Linked DNA regions of Drosophila melanogaster. The gene in region 1 interacts genetically with each later gene. Each region holds a gene or a part of one and is shown on either strand. Other genes may lie near its edges.

Region 1 (5,719 bases):
CTTGGCAACTCCTTTGTGATGCTCTCCCTCACCCAAATGCGTTTGGGTGCTGCCGAGCTTGTCAATGAAGGGCACCTTTAGCCGCGGCACTAGAGTATTCAGCTGGGAACCCATACTCGACGAACTGCTGGCCTCCAGGAACTTATTGTGTTGGGTCTTGGGGAACAGCGTCTTCAGAGACGTGTAGCGCCGCTCCCAGGTGGCATTGGCACAGCGAAAGAGCTCGTTGAAGACGACGAGGCCACCGTGAATGCGATCGTCTCGGGTCACGCCTTTCTGATCCTTGCTAGAGCCCAAGTCTGCATTGAAGCTTCCATTCGCCTCGTCATAGCAGATTCTGTACCACTGTGGTTCACTGGACTGCTTGGTGCTCTCTCGCTGAGCGGTGACAATCAAAGCCGCCCTCAAAGCCTCGCCAGCTGACTCTCGTATAGCAGGTTTGGGATCGAAGATGGCGTTAAAGATAACCTCGAAGAAGGTCAGGATGTGCTGGTAGAAGTATGTGGGCAAGGCGATAGCCAGCTCACGGAGGATAAAGACGGCTGAATGGCGGCGGTACTGAAAAAAATAATATATAAATGAATTTGGATAACTCTAGCCATGCTTACAACTACTATTTTCATTTTCATTATAAAGTTTTTCCATCTTCATCTCAAAATCAGACTTAAAAGCTTAATTTGTAGGTTTCCCTTATAATTCACCTCTTGTCTCTCGCCTCTGAGCACCTCAAAAGCCTTCTTAATATCAAAGTCGAAGGAATCGGCGCCCTTGGAGGTGGGCATGTTGGCCAATTTGACCAGGGAGCGGGCGGCAATCTCCATGACGGACACATCGTTGATTAGCAGAAGATCGCGCAGGCGGTTGAGATAGGGCGAAATGCCCTTCCTGGCAGTAAGACTGCCCTCGCAGTTAATCAGGCACTCTGAAAGGGAAGACGTTAAATCCTCTCAAGCACTGCCGGGGAGCCAGGAACTCACTCATGGCCAGGGCACCGCCTTTTTTCTCGTTGATATCTGTCGCATTCACCATCGTGAAAATGTGATGGTCGAACTCGTCGAAAAATTGGGCCAGCTCCTCCTGGGACATTTCGCGTAGCTCGGTCTTCACATAGAAGAGCAGATCCTGGGTTGCCTTGTTCTGTACATTCCGGTTGCGGGACTTAAGCCCGTTGACGAACTGCTGCACCACCGACGTCGTCGACATGGCTGGGCAGGGTTTATTCACTATTTAAACGCGATTTTCACTTGCATTTGGGAGGGGAAAGGGTGGAGCAGGTGCATCTGCCTGCTGTCTACGGACTTTGGAGGTTATCTTTTCAGTTGCCCCGGGGCGCTGTACGCACTGTTCCACTGGTCACTCGATAGGATTTCATGTGCCGGCACCGGTGCCGAACGATCTCACACGGATGCAGGTCCTTTGCTTTCTTTAATTGCGGATTACTTCGGTTTTTACGGAAATTTATTGCAGCCGCTGCCGATTAGTGATGTAAAACAGAATTCGATCAATTTACAATCGATATTTTCTTGCTGATACTTCTGTACTTGGCGGCGACTTATAAGCATTTAAAATGTTAGAGAACATATTAAATAAAAATAATAAAGTAATTAATAAATTTGTTCTTTATTATAAGCAATTAAAAAGAAATTGGCTTAAAGTTGTGGTACAAAACATTTATATTACTGGAGTGAACAAGTTGCATTGAAGAATTTGGAAAATAGCACAAAAATGCAAGCTTATGTTAAATTTTTAATAATTACCAACAAGTATTTCAAGATTTAACTGCGGAATGTGCTAGTGGAATCCGACTATTAATGTATCGTGACGTGCGTGAGTTTGATGTGAGCCCATCTCTATAGAGAACCTGGAGCCCTCGACGATAACCGATAGATCAATACTAGAGTGAAATCAAAAAAGCAAGAGAATTTTCATAAGAGCTGTTGAAACAAATGTGAGCTTATTTAATTTTAGAGCAGCTGAAAAAGCAGTTTTTACGCCACAAAACCACTGACCACAAGGTGTTGAATGAAAAGAAAGTGTGAAAATTGCTTTTGTGATGGGTAAAAGGTGGAAAATTCACCTTGCCGTTGGTGGCATGTGTGAAAATTGTATTGGAAAATCGATGCTGTGCTGCGGGGGTGTGAAGCTTTTCACTGGGGGCTGCTGCTGCACATCAGCGCCACCTATGCGTTTCCTCGCGGAAAACGCTCTCTCATTCGGGGGCATGGAAAATGCGTGTTTTTGTTTATAAGAAAAACGGTTACTTTTTCCCACAGCCAACGAACGATTTGACCGTTACCGAAGCAGAAGAAGAAGAGCAGCAACCGCGACCATGTCCAACTTGAGGAAATTCAAAGACGAGGAGCGCGAGTCGGAATATGGCCGTGTCTACGCGGTATCCGGACCAGGTAAGCGACGTCACCAGCGTCCTTCATGCGCTGACCCCCAAGTTCTGTAATCCTTAATCCTGCCTTTCTTCTGTTCTTAATTATACTCCTCCACATCTTCCTTTTTATCCTTCCTTATTATCCTTCTCCTTTTCATATTTCTGTATGCTTTCTTCCCCCTCCTCCTGTTCCGCATAATCTTCCTCATTATGCTGCTCTCTCCACTCCTTGCTAATCATATTTCTCCTGCTTTTCCTCCTTCAACAACTTTAAATCCACTTCAGTGGTCACCGCTGAGGCCATGTCTGGATCAGCTATGTACGAGTTGGTCCGCGTCGGCTACTACGAGCTGGTGGGCGAGATCATCCGTCTGGAGGGCGACATGGCCACCATCCAGGTGTACGAGGAGACCTCTGGCGTGACTGTCGGCGATCCGGTGCTGCGTACCGGCAAACCTCTTTCCGTGGAACTTGGACCCGGCATTATGGGCAGCATCTTCGACGGCATCCAACGTCCTTTGCGGGACATTGGTGTCATGACCAACTCCATCTATATACCCAAAGGTGTCAACACAACTGCTTTGTCGCGCTCGGAGATGTGGGAATTTAATCCGCTGAATGTGCGGGTGGGATCCCACATCACCGGAGGAGATCTGTATGGAGTGGTACACGAGAACACGCTGGTGAAGCAGCGCATGATTGTGGCACCCAGGGCTAAGGGAACCGTTCGATACATTGCCCCCGCGGGCAACTACAACCTGGAGGACATTGTCCTGGAGACGGAGTTCGACGGCGAGATAACCAAGCACACCATGTTGCAGGTCTGGCCAGTGCGGCAGCCACGTCCCGTCACAGAGAAGCTGCCAGCCAACCATCCGCTCTTCACGGGCCAACGCGTCCTTGACTCGCTCTTCCCCTGCGTACAGGGCGGCACCACTGCCATCCCCGGTGCCTTTGGCTGCGGCAAGACCGTCATTTCGCAGGCAAGTTGCAAATTATTCACTTAATCCACATCTTACATCTCATTAAATGACCATCCCTTCCAATCTGCACTTCAACCACCCGTAGGCCCTGTCCAAGTACTCCAACTCTGATGTGATCATCTACGTCGGTTGCGGCGAGCGCGGTAACGAGATGTCTGAGGTACTGCGTGACTTTCCCGAACTGACCTGCGAGATAGATGGCGTCACCGAGTCCATTATGAAGCGAACTGCTCTGGTGGCCAACACCTCCAACATGCCGGTGGCTGCTCGTGAGGCCTCCATCTACACTGGAATCACTCTGTCTGAATACTTCCGTGATATGGGCTACAACGTAGCCATGATGGCTGATTCCACCTCCCGTTGGGCTGAGGCACTTCGTGAGATTTCGGGTCGTTTGGCTGAGATGCCTGCCGATTCTGGCTACCCGGCTTATCTAGGAGCTCGTCTGGCCACATTCTACGAGCGTGCTGGGCGCGTCAAGTGCTTGGGTAACCCGGAGCGCGAGGGATCCGTGTCCATTGTCGGAGCTGTGTCTCCTCCTGGTGGTGACTTCTCCGATCCCGTGACCTCCGCCACTTTGGGTATCGTGCAGGTGTTCTGGGGTCTCGACAAGAAATTGGCCCAGCGCAAGCACTTCCCCTCGATCAACTGGCTCATCTCCTACTCGAAGTACATGCGTGCTCTGGATGAATACTATGACAAGAACTACCCCGAGTTCGTGCCACTACGCACCAAGGTCAAGGAGATCCTGCAGGAGGAGGAGGATCTGTCTGAGATCGTTCAGCTGGTGGGCAAAGCATCACTGGCCGAGACCGACAAGGTGACCCTGGAAGTGGCAAAGCTGCTGAAGGACGACTTTCTGCAACAGAACTCCTACTCACCATACGATCGCGTTTGTCCCTTCTACAAGACCGTGGGCATGCTGAGAAACATCATGGCCTTCTATGAGACCGCCCGTCATGCCGTTGAGTCCACAGCCCAGTCGGACAACAAGATCACATGGAACACCATCAGGGAATCGATGGGCGGAATTATGTACCAGCTGTCGTCAATGAAGTTCAAGGTGAGTGGGTTTATCTATTCCAACTATTATTTATATTAATAATTCACATTTTAAGGACCCGGTGAAAGATGGCGAGCAAAAGATCAAGGCGGACTACGACCAGCTGTACGAGGATCTGCAGCAGGCCTTCCGAAATCTAGAGGACTAAGCGGAAACGGACAGAAACCAACTGCGGGCTTTCCTAGCGAGAGGAATGGAAAAAGAAGCAAACCAAACGAAATAAGAAACCAAAGCTAGGTTATTATTCGAATTCCCCATTCAATCTAGTCATATTTACATAATGCATAATAAGATATTTGAATCCAAGTTTACTTATAAGTTTAACAAACAGTTTGGCCCGCTTCAGGTCTAGTCAGGTCAGAATCGAATCACCAGAAGATACGCAAAACGAAAGGAAAGACGAACAATAATTAGTCGGTAGCGCAAATGGAACGCAGTTAAACCAGCCATATACATAAATACCATACATATATGACACATATGTATAATTATCTATGTTGATATATAAATATAATTCACAGCTATGTATTGTTAGTAAATTTTCATATAGTTATCGATTGTGTTCGTTACCCTATTGTGTGAAACTAAACCAACTAAACGACGAGTCTAAAGGGCGTTTGAATCTTTACGAAATTACAAAATATTATATTCCTACATATTATAGACCTTTAAAGAACGCAATAACAACGTAGCCCCAAAAGCATGTACCTCTACTACCAAAGGATAGCTATTTCAGTAACTTGTGTGTGTTGCAAATGGAGCTATGGAAATAAAATGTATTATGAATGTTACAAAATGATCGGGTTTTTATTTACTTTCTTATAAAGTGGCGCAATTTTTTGAATTTAAAACAAATCGATGGGCGAGAAAATATCGATTTCAGATAGCACCGGTGTTAGACGATAGGTAACATCGAAATTCATCGATTACATTTAGCTATTGGTCACCTCTAGTTGACGTGTTGTTAAATTAAATATCATTTTGTAAATATATGAATTGCGCTTAAATTAAAGTAATCATGTCTCAGTTCGGCGGACCCAATGACTTTTACGGCTCCGCGCCCTCGGCCGATGCCAGCTACAACTTCGATATGCCAGAATTTGGCCAGGAACTGTGAGTAGTTACCCGGAATTCCATTTCACAGCATTCACAATTGTTGCCCCACTTGCTTGCAGGAATTTCCAAACCTTCGACAACACACAGGCCTCAGTGCCGCCGAACTACGATGCGTCCTATGCCCAACCGCCGAGCCAAGGCTTGGGTGGCTTCTACGATCCCACGGCCTACACC
Region 2 (6,488 bases), 1.9 Mb from region 1:
CGTACTACATATGGCAGCAAGCTGGAAGTCCGGCTTATCCCAACGCCACTCTAAGGGAAGCGATGCGAAGAGCCCAAGCACCTAGACTCTACAAGACGGGACCCATCTGGCAGTACAACAGCGAGCTAGTTATCAACTCCGCCAGCATCCCACTGCCCTGGGCGATGCTGCTCCGGGTGTGTTCCGCATCTTGGCCCAAACTGCGACGACCGCAGCAACTTTCCATCGCAGAGGTGACTCAGCGTGAGGTGTTCATTAGCTGGATGGAACACCCCAAATCCACGCAGTGCCTTCTCAGCTACGAGGTGTGGTTTAAGGAACGCGATAATCTGGGTCGCTCCGCCGACTGGATGCTCATCTCACAGGGCTGGCATCTGCCATATCCGTCGTTTCAGTATGCGCCCGGCGATAAGGGATCCGTCAATGGTGAGCATAACCTGCAAAATTTCCATCTTTCATAACCGAAATCTTTTTTTGTCGGCAGGTTTCTATAAAGTTCGCGGTGTGGATGTGTTTAATGAAACCAGTCCCTACTCACAAATAGTCGAATATCTGGAGTTGTAGTTCAACAAACAGTTTATAAATCAAAAGAAAATATTTATGCAATGTGAAAGCTAACATAATCAGGTTTCGGCTAGGCGCTAGTGGACCGATCCTACTCTCAATCTGTCTCTCTTGGAATGGACTGACTTCACCGGCACAATCTTCTGGACTTGCGCCTTCGCCTTAACGCCGGCAATATCATATATACATATATTATTTATATATAAAGATATTTATAGTACATTATATGTGTTGTGTTCGTAATATATAAATGCCTTCTTCCTGCGAAGGAATCGGCAAAAGCGTACATACTTAGATAAATTGAATTTTCTGTGAGGGATATTTACAAACAAATAACTTAGTGACTTAATCGAGAACAATCGCAAGGGGACGCGTTCCTATTTTATTTAAATTTTCTTGTTTAGCCCTAGGCATCCAAGACCAACCACTTTTCGGTGATGTGCTCCATTTGCTTGGTGAGAATAGGATTGCGAACGCGTATCTTGACTTCCAATTTTCCACCTACTTGCTTGCGACCATCCATTAGCTGTTTTAAGGAATACATAGGTTAAATTTAAGTTTATATTATTTTATTATAGTAGTTATCACTTACATCATATGTGTCGTGTATCTCGCACTTGGTCTCCAATGGCTGCAGCTTGACATTTACGGTTCCGATCAACGTATCCGATCGCAGAAAACCTCTGAAACAACACAGGGGCAGTTTACGACTTAGTCCACAACAATCTATACTGCAGCTATTTATATTAAATGCGTAGCATTGGATGACATTTATTTTTTGTTTGAATTGTTGGGAATTGAGGCGTAAAAATTTGTAAAAATATTTCATTAAAATGTTCCTTGTGAGAATCAATCAAGAAGATCAATGGGTAGACACATACGGTGAAATATATGTGTGCTTGAAGCCGTGACTCGTACGATACTGTTTTACGGGACCAAAGGAACATGCTTACTACGGGAAAAATTTAATAATTCAAATTAAGAGCTGAAACTTAATATTAAGAGCAAATTAATACCCAAGCGAAACCTACAAATTGGATAAAAATATTTAGTAGGTATGCAGCTCAATCAACAGCTTTTTAAATTTTCGCAAAATGATCTATGCCAAATATTTTTTAAAATTATATATATATTTTTATTTAAGTCTTTAAGGCTATTTCAAAATGTAGAAGATTACTACTCATCGGATATTACTAAGTATTCCTTGGAAAATTAATACGCGTAAATAAGATCATATACCGCCTCCGTTAGTTGAGATTAATATGCATGGAAAGCTTCTTAGTACGGATTAAATAATTGTTCTAGCTCAGTTCTTTTATGTACGGGCAACTTACCCTCTAGAGTATATTTCAAACTTGACGCCATGCCGCTTAAAGATTCTCTGGAACTGACGATTGGTCCGCTGGATGTCAACCTTGAAGCGTTCATCGTAGTCAGGACTGCTGGTGTCTCTGATAACATTGGTTTTAGTCTTGAAAGATTCATCCTTAAAACGAAAACATATAAATAATTGGTGAAACTTTAAATGTTGGTAATTAGCTTACATTGAGCAGGGGAAACTCTACGCGCACATAAGTATCCACGTCCTTGGGATTGGCCACATTGTAGCTGATTCCCCGGACCACAACAATTTCAAGCTCACTGTCTGTGAGATCTGTGTTGCAATGCACAATGTTGAAGCTACGCTTTTCATAGTGAAACTTTGGCAGTGGTTCATTCTTTCGTTTCGAGTATCGCACCAAATCCAAATCCTTTTGCACAGTTAAGGCTAAATTTTCAAACCGATTCATGCCTGCTACATCTCCCATAGCTTTGTGATGATCTCGCGTATTTTTGCACATCATCAGTTGTTTTGCCAGCTGCTCCTCCATGCGAACACCAATTTCACAGATATCATCTGTCGGATCGCATTCCTCAGCAGATACAATGGCAAAGGAGGCTTCTAGATTATCCCTTTGTGAAGGCGGGACGGGAAGCTGAAAAAAAAAAATATATAGTTAGCCATACAAGAAGAAGATGTAATGCAAAACTTACAGTGCTGAGGTCCACTGGCAATCCACTACTCGCTGCATTAAGAAGGGAATCGAATCCCTTGAAGATCTTGAGGTACTCCTTCGCCTGATCTATTTCTCCCGCTTTTTTGGCCTCTATAGCAGCTAGCTTAAACTCCTTTTGGCGCTCGAGGAGCAGTTTCATTTGTTGCTCGGCAATATTATTCTTCTGCTGATTGCCAGACGTGCGTGTTGTTAACTCTTTGGGCTTAGGAGGTGAAGGTGCTTTTCGAGGAGCTGTAGGTGTCGTCGCACTGGAACTGGAGGGTGTTCCTCCTGCGGAAGTACTTGCTGTTGGCGGTGGAGATGTAGGCGAAGTGGGCAGCGACGGTGTCGGCGCGACAGGAGCAGCATCAGCCGTAGGCAGCGGTCCAAAACCTGGTGGCACAGGCAGCTCATCGTAAGGCACTGGTTTGCCTGCCTTGTACAACTTTATGGCATCTTCGTATTGCTTCACAATCCTTCCAAAGCGTCTTGCTTTTCCGCTATTGTTTTCTGCCTTGGCTGCCGCTTCTACAGATTGATATTTCTCTAAACGTTGCTGCAGAGCCTCCAACATATTTGTTGCAGCTGCTAGAACAGGAGCAGGAGCAACAGGTGTGGGTTCTGGGGCAGCAGTAGGTTCTGCGACAGCTTCTGCGGCTGCTTCTTCTTGCATTTTTTTAAGGAATTCAAGAAACTCAGCTGGTGGAGGGGGCATGTCACTCAAATCAACTTCCTGTCCGTCTTCACACATTTTTATAACTACGTCAAATTGCTTGACCACTTTGAGAAACTGAAGGGCAGTAGATATGTCACCACTGCGCTTAGATTGCAGTGCAGCAGCTTTGTAGTCCGTCTGGCGGCTGCGCATTTGCGTCACAAGAGGATTAGGGGGAGATGTGGGAGCCACAGATGTAGTGGGCTCCACGGGGGTGCCGGGGGTTGGTGGATCTGGAGCTGCACGACTAGGCACAGGCGGAGGGGAAGCAGGTGTGGAAGGAGCTGGTGACTCCTCTGCAGGCACTGGAGGAGCCTGCCCGCCAATTGGCTTTACACTGACTTCAGGTGGAATGTCATCCACGTTAATGGACTTGCCAGCCGCTGCCTGCCTGTGCAGATCTTTCAGAGTCTTAAGGCCTCTTCCAAATCGCCTTGCTTTGCCAGAATCGCCGGCAGTCTTGGCATTGGCCTCGGCCTGCTTGTACATTTCCAGGCGCTGTTTGATAATGCTTAATGTGTCCACAGTCGTCGTGGGCAGAAAGGTCTGGACGGGTTCCTCAGAGGCAGCTGGCGGTTGTGCGACAGGCTCCTCTTCCTCTGCCTCCTCTAGACCACCGATTCCGCTCAGCTCGCCAAGAAGATCCGGATCGCTTTCCAAATTGTCATCATCATCATCGTCGCTGACATCACGCAAGCTGTCGGCTATCATTTTGTCCAAATCACTGGCGGGTAACAGCTTTGCTTTGGGCTTGGGCTTTGGCTTGGCTCCTTCTCCGCCGGTTATGGCCGCAAGCTCTGCCTCCAAATCACTGTCACCCCCATCGTCCTCACCATATCCAGCGCTGGGATCAAAATCATCTGGGATTTCCGTAAGACCGAACTAAACACAAAAAACAAAAAAGACAGTCCAAACGATGAGTCATAATTAATAAATAGACGGATCTAGACTGTTTGTTTTTCCTCTCACCTGCGATAAATCGTGTTGCCTTCTTTTCGCTGGCTCTGGCTTCTTTCTGGAGAACATCCTTGATTGCACAGAGGCTGTTTATTAACTAAAATAAGTCTATAAAGACTTTCAAATCCTTTAAATTTTTGCGTCGCAACAGTTCAGCCGCAGACAACAATAACAGAGTGGGGATCACTGTGGTGCAACGAAAGGTGACGCAGGAAAGTCTTTGCGAATTGGTGACGTCAGTGGCACAGGGCTACAGGAAATTTGTTGACGGTTAAAAAAATATCGTTAAAAATAATGAAGAAATGATTTTTTCTTCATTCAGCAACATTAAATTTTATTATAGTTTAATCCATAATGAAATATAAATGAACATGGTAAGCCACCTTACAAAACATCAATCCTGCGGAACTAAACTTTTGCCGGTAACTAGGGCTGCGAAACGCTAACAGGTACAGGGCTGCCGCGCCAGCTGTCTAATCGAATCGATACCGCAACCTATCGATATCGAGAGCCAGCGCACACACAGTGCAAAAGAGTTTGCGAAAAAAAACCTGGACAAAAAGCCAAATTGATTGTGCGCCGAGCAGCTTGAGGCACTAGGTGTACCCTCGTCGACCAGTGCCGTGAATCCTCTAACCATCGTGGTTGTGGTGGCACCAAGAAGTTAGCGAAACCATCGTCCCCGCAGTTCTCCCAGCTTCCACCTCCTCCAACTCCGTCTTGGGGGCCAAAGGCAGAAAATCATCAGACTTCTGGTTGTGAGCAGCGCGGGGCAGCGGGGTCGGCACTGGCCTGCTGGGTTAAACGTGGAAGTAAACAAACGAATTGGATTCCGGGTCCAGGACGGACGAACGGGGCGTGGCTCGTTAACCAGCGGCTTGGTAAACGAAACCAGAGACGGCAACAAGTAGGCGACAGGCATGGACGTGTCCCTCACTGAGCCGGAGACGCGCTTCTACAGTGAGTTGTTCCAATGCTGCGACGTGGAGAAGACAGGCAAGGTGCCCATGCTTAAGGCCACCGAGCTCTTTCGCTCGGCGGACATCGCCAATGAGACCGTGATTGAGGTAGGTCCAATTTGTGTGATCGTGAGTGATTAATTATCTGGGTCTGGGCTTATAGATCACCGGTCTGGCGGGGATACCCTCCACGGCGCTACACATCTCGCGGACACAGTTCTACTCATGCCTGAAGCTAATCGCTGCTCATCAGGCGGCCATGCCCCTGCGCCAGGAGCTGATCTTGGCCACGTTTCCGCTTCCATTACCGCACTTTAGCTGGAAGGAGGCGGTTACAGCTCCGGTGGCTGTCGAAAATGGATTGACTGCCTTGCCACCGCCACCACCCACAGATCGCAGAAATTCACTGCGTCGTAACTCGCAGCAAGAGCAGCTGCAAGACACCTCTGATGTGCCCAGCACCGACTCCGAGGTTGAGCAAAACGAATCAGTGGACGATGCGACAGGCCATGGACGAGGTACGGATGGCTGTGGGGTCGTCAGCAGCAGCAGCCGCGAAAATGTCGGGGTTTGTACTTCTATCTTATCTTGTGACATTTGTAAATAAGCTTACCATTGACCGATCCCCGTCCATGCCTTATCTCTTTTAGCGACGACGAGGAGGCGGTACTGGTGGTGGATCGCCAGAAGCCTGGAGCACTAACAGTGACAGCCCCACGCCCACCAACAGCGTGGCTGAGCGGCCTTGGGCGCAGGACACCCTCTGGCAGGGTTTGCTGGGCGACGAGCATCGCCAGCTGCTAGGCACGGAGGAAGAGTCTTCCGATCGCCACAGCAGCGACGACGATGACAACGAGAGCGAATTGGTGACCATTTACCAGATAACCCCGGAACAGCGCGAGTACTATAATAAGCAGTTCAGGACGGTGCAAAGGGATCCGCATGGTCTGCTTTCGGGCCAAGCAGCAAGGTAAGTTGGCTTTAGGAACGTTTATAACTTTATTCTTCTTATTATTTTCTTATTCCTTTTTTTATTAGAAACTTTTTTGAAAAGAGCCGCATTCCTGTGGAGGAGCTACGTCACATTTGGCAGTTGTGTGACGTTACCCGCGATGGAGCGCTAAGTCTGTCTGAGTTTACGGCCGCCATGCATTTGGTGGTTCTACGGCGCAACAACATTCCCTTGCCCACAAGTCTGCCCCACTGTTTGCATCCCAACGTGCTACAAGCAGCTGCGTCCGGCAGTGGACAGGGGGT

What was found.
Region 2: of Vha68-1 (region 1) and l(2)gd1, changing one suppresses a phenotype caused by changing the other (phenotypic suppression), as found in Drosophila melanogaster (one study listed by BioGRID).

What each region holds. Positions count from the first base shown.
Region 1 is NT_033779.5:13,000,270-13,005,988, reverse strand, and holds Vha68-1 (vacuolar H[+] ATPase 68kD subunit 1), read left to right. Parts: upstream 1-1,881; 5' UTR 1,882-1,948; exon of another isoform or gene 1,949-2,015; intron 2,016-2,273; 5' UTR 2,274-2,329; coding exon 2,330-2,405; intron 2,406-2,668; coding exon 2,669-3,366; intron 3,367-3,451; coding exon 3,452-4,429; intron 4,430-4,484; coding exon 4,485-4,577; 3' UTR 4,578-5,219; downstream 5,220-5,719. Other genes in the region: mTor (mechanistic target of rapamycin), read right to left, coding at 1-558, 702-922, 978-1,203; Yip1d1 (Yip1 domain-containing 1), read left to right, coding at 5,448-5,542, 5,605-5,719. UniProt on the Drosophila melanogaster protein: Catalytic subunit of the V1 complex of vacuolar(H+)-ATPase (V-ATPase), a multisubunit enzyme composed of a peripheral complex (V1) that hydrolyzes ATP and a membrane integral complex (V0) that translocates protons.
Region 2 is NT_033779.5:11,104,918-11,111,405, reverse strand, and holds l(2)gd1 (lethal (2) giant discs 1), read right to left. Parts: upstream 4,464-6,488; 5' UTR 4,342-4,463; coding exon 4,285-4,341; intron 4,198-4,284; coding exon 2,599-4,197; intron 2,541-2,598; coding exon 2,109-2,540; intron 2,051-2,108; coding exon 1,899-2,050; intron 1,302-1,898; coding exon 1,157-1,301; intron 1,091-1,156; coding exon 971-1,090; 3' UTR 565-970; downstream 1-564. Other genes in the region: Idua (alpha-L-iduronidase), read left to right, coding at 1-426, 485-564; Reps (RALBP1 associated Eps domain containing), read left to right, coding at 5,193-5,339, 5,395-5,799, 5,882-6,201, 6,270-6,488. UniProt on the Drosophila melanogaster protein: Phosphatidyl inositol monophosphate binding protein involved in endosomal protein sorting through regulation of the endosomal sorting required for transport (ESCRT) pathway.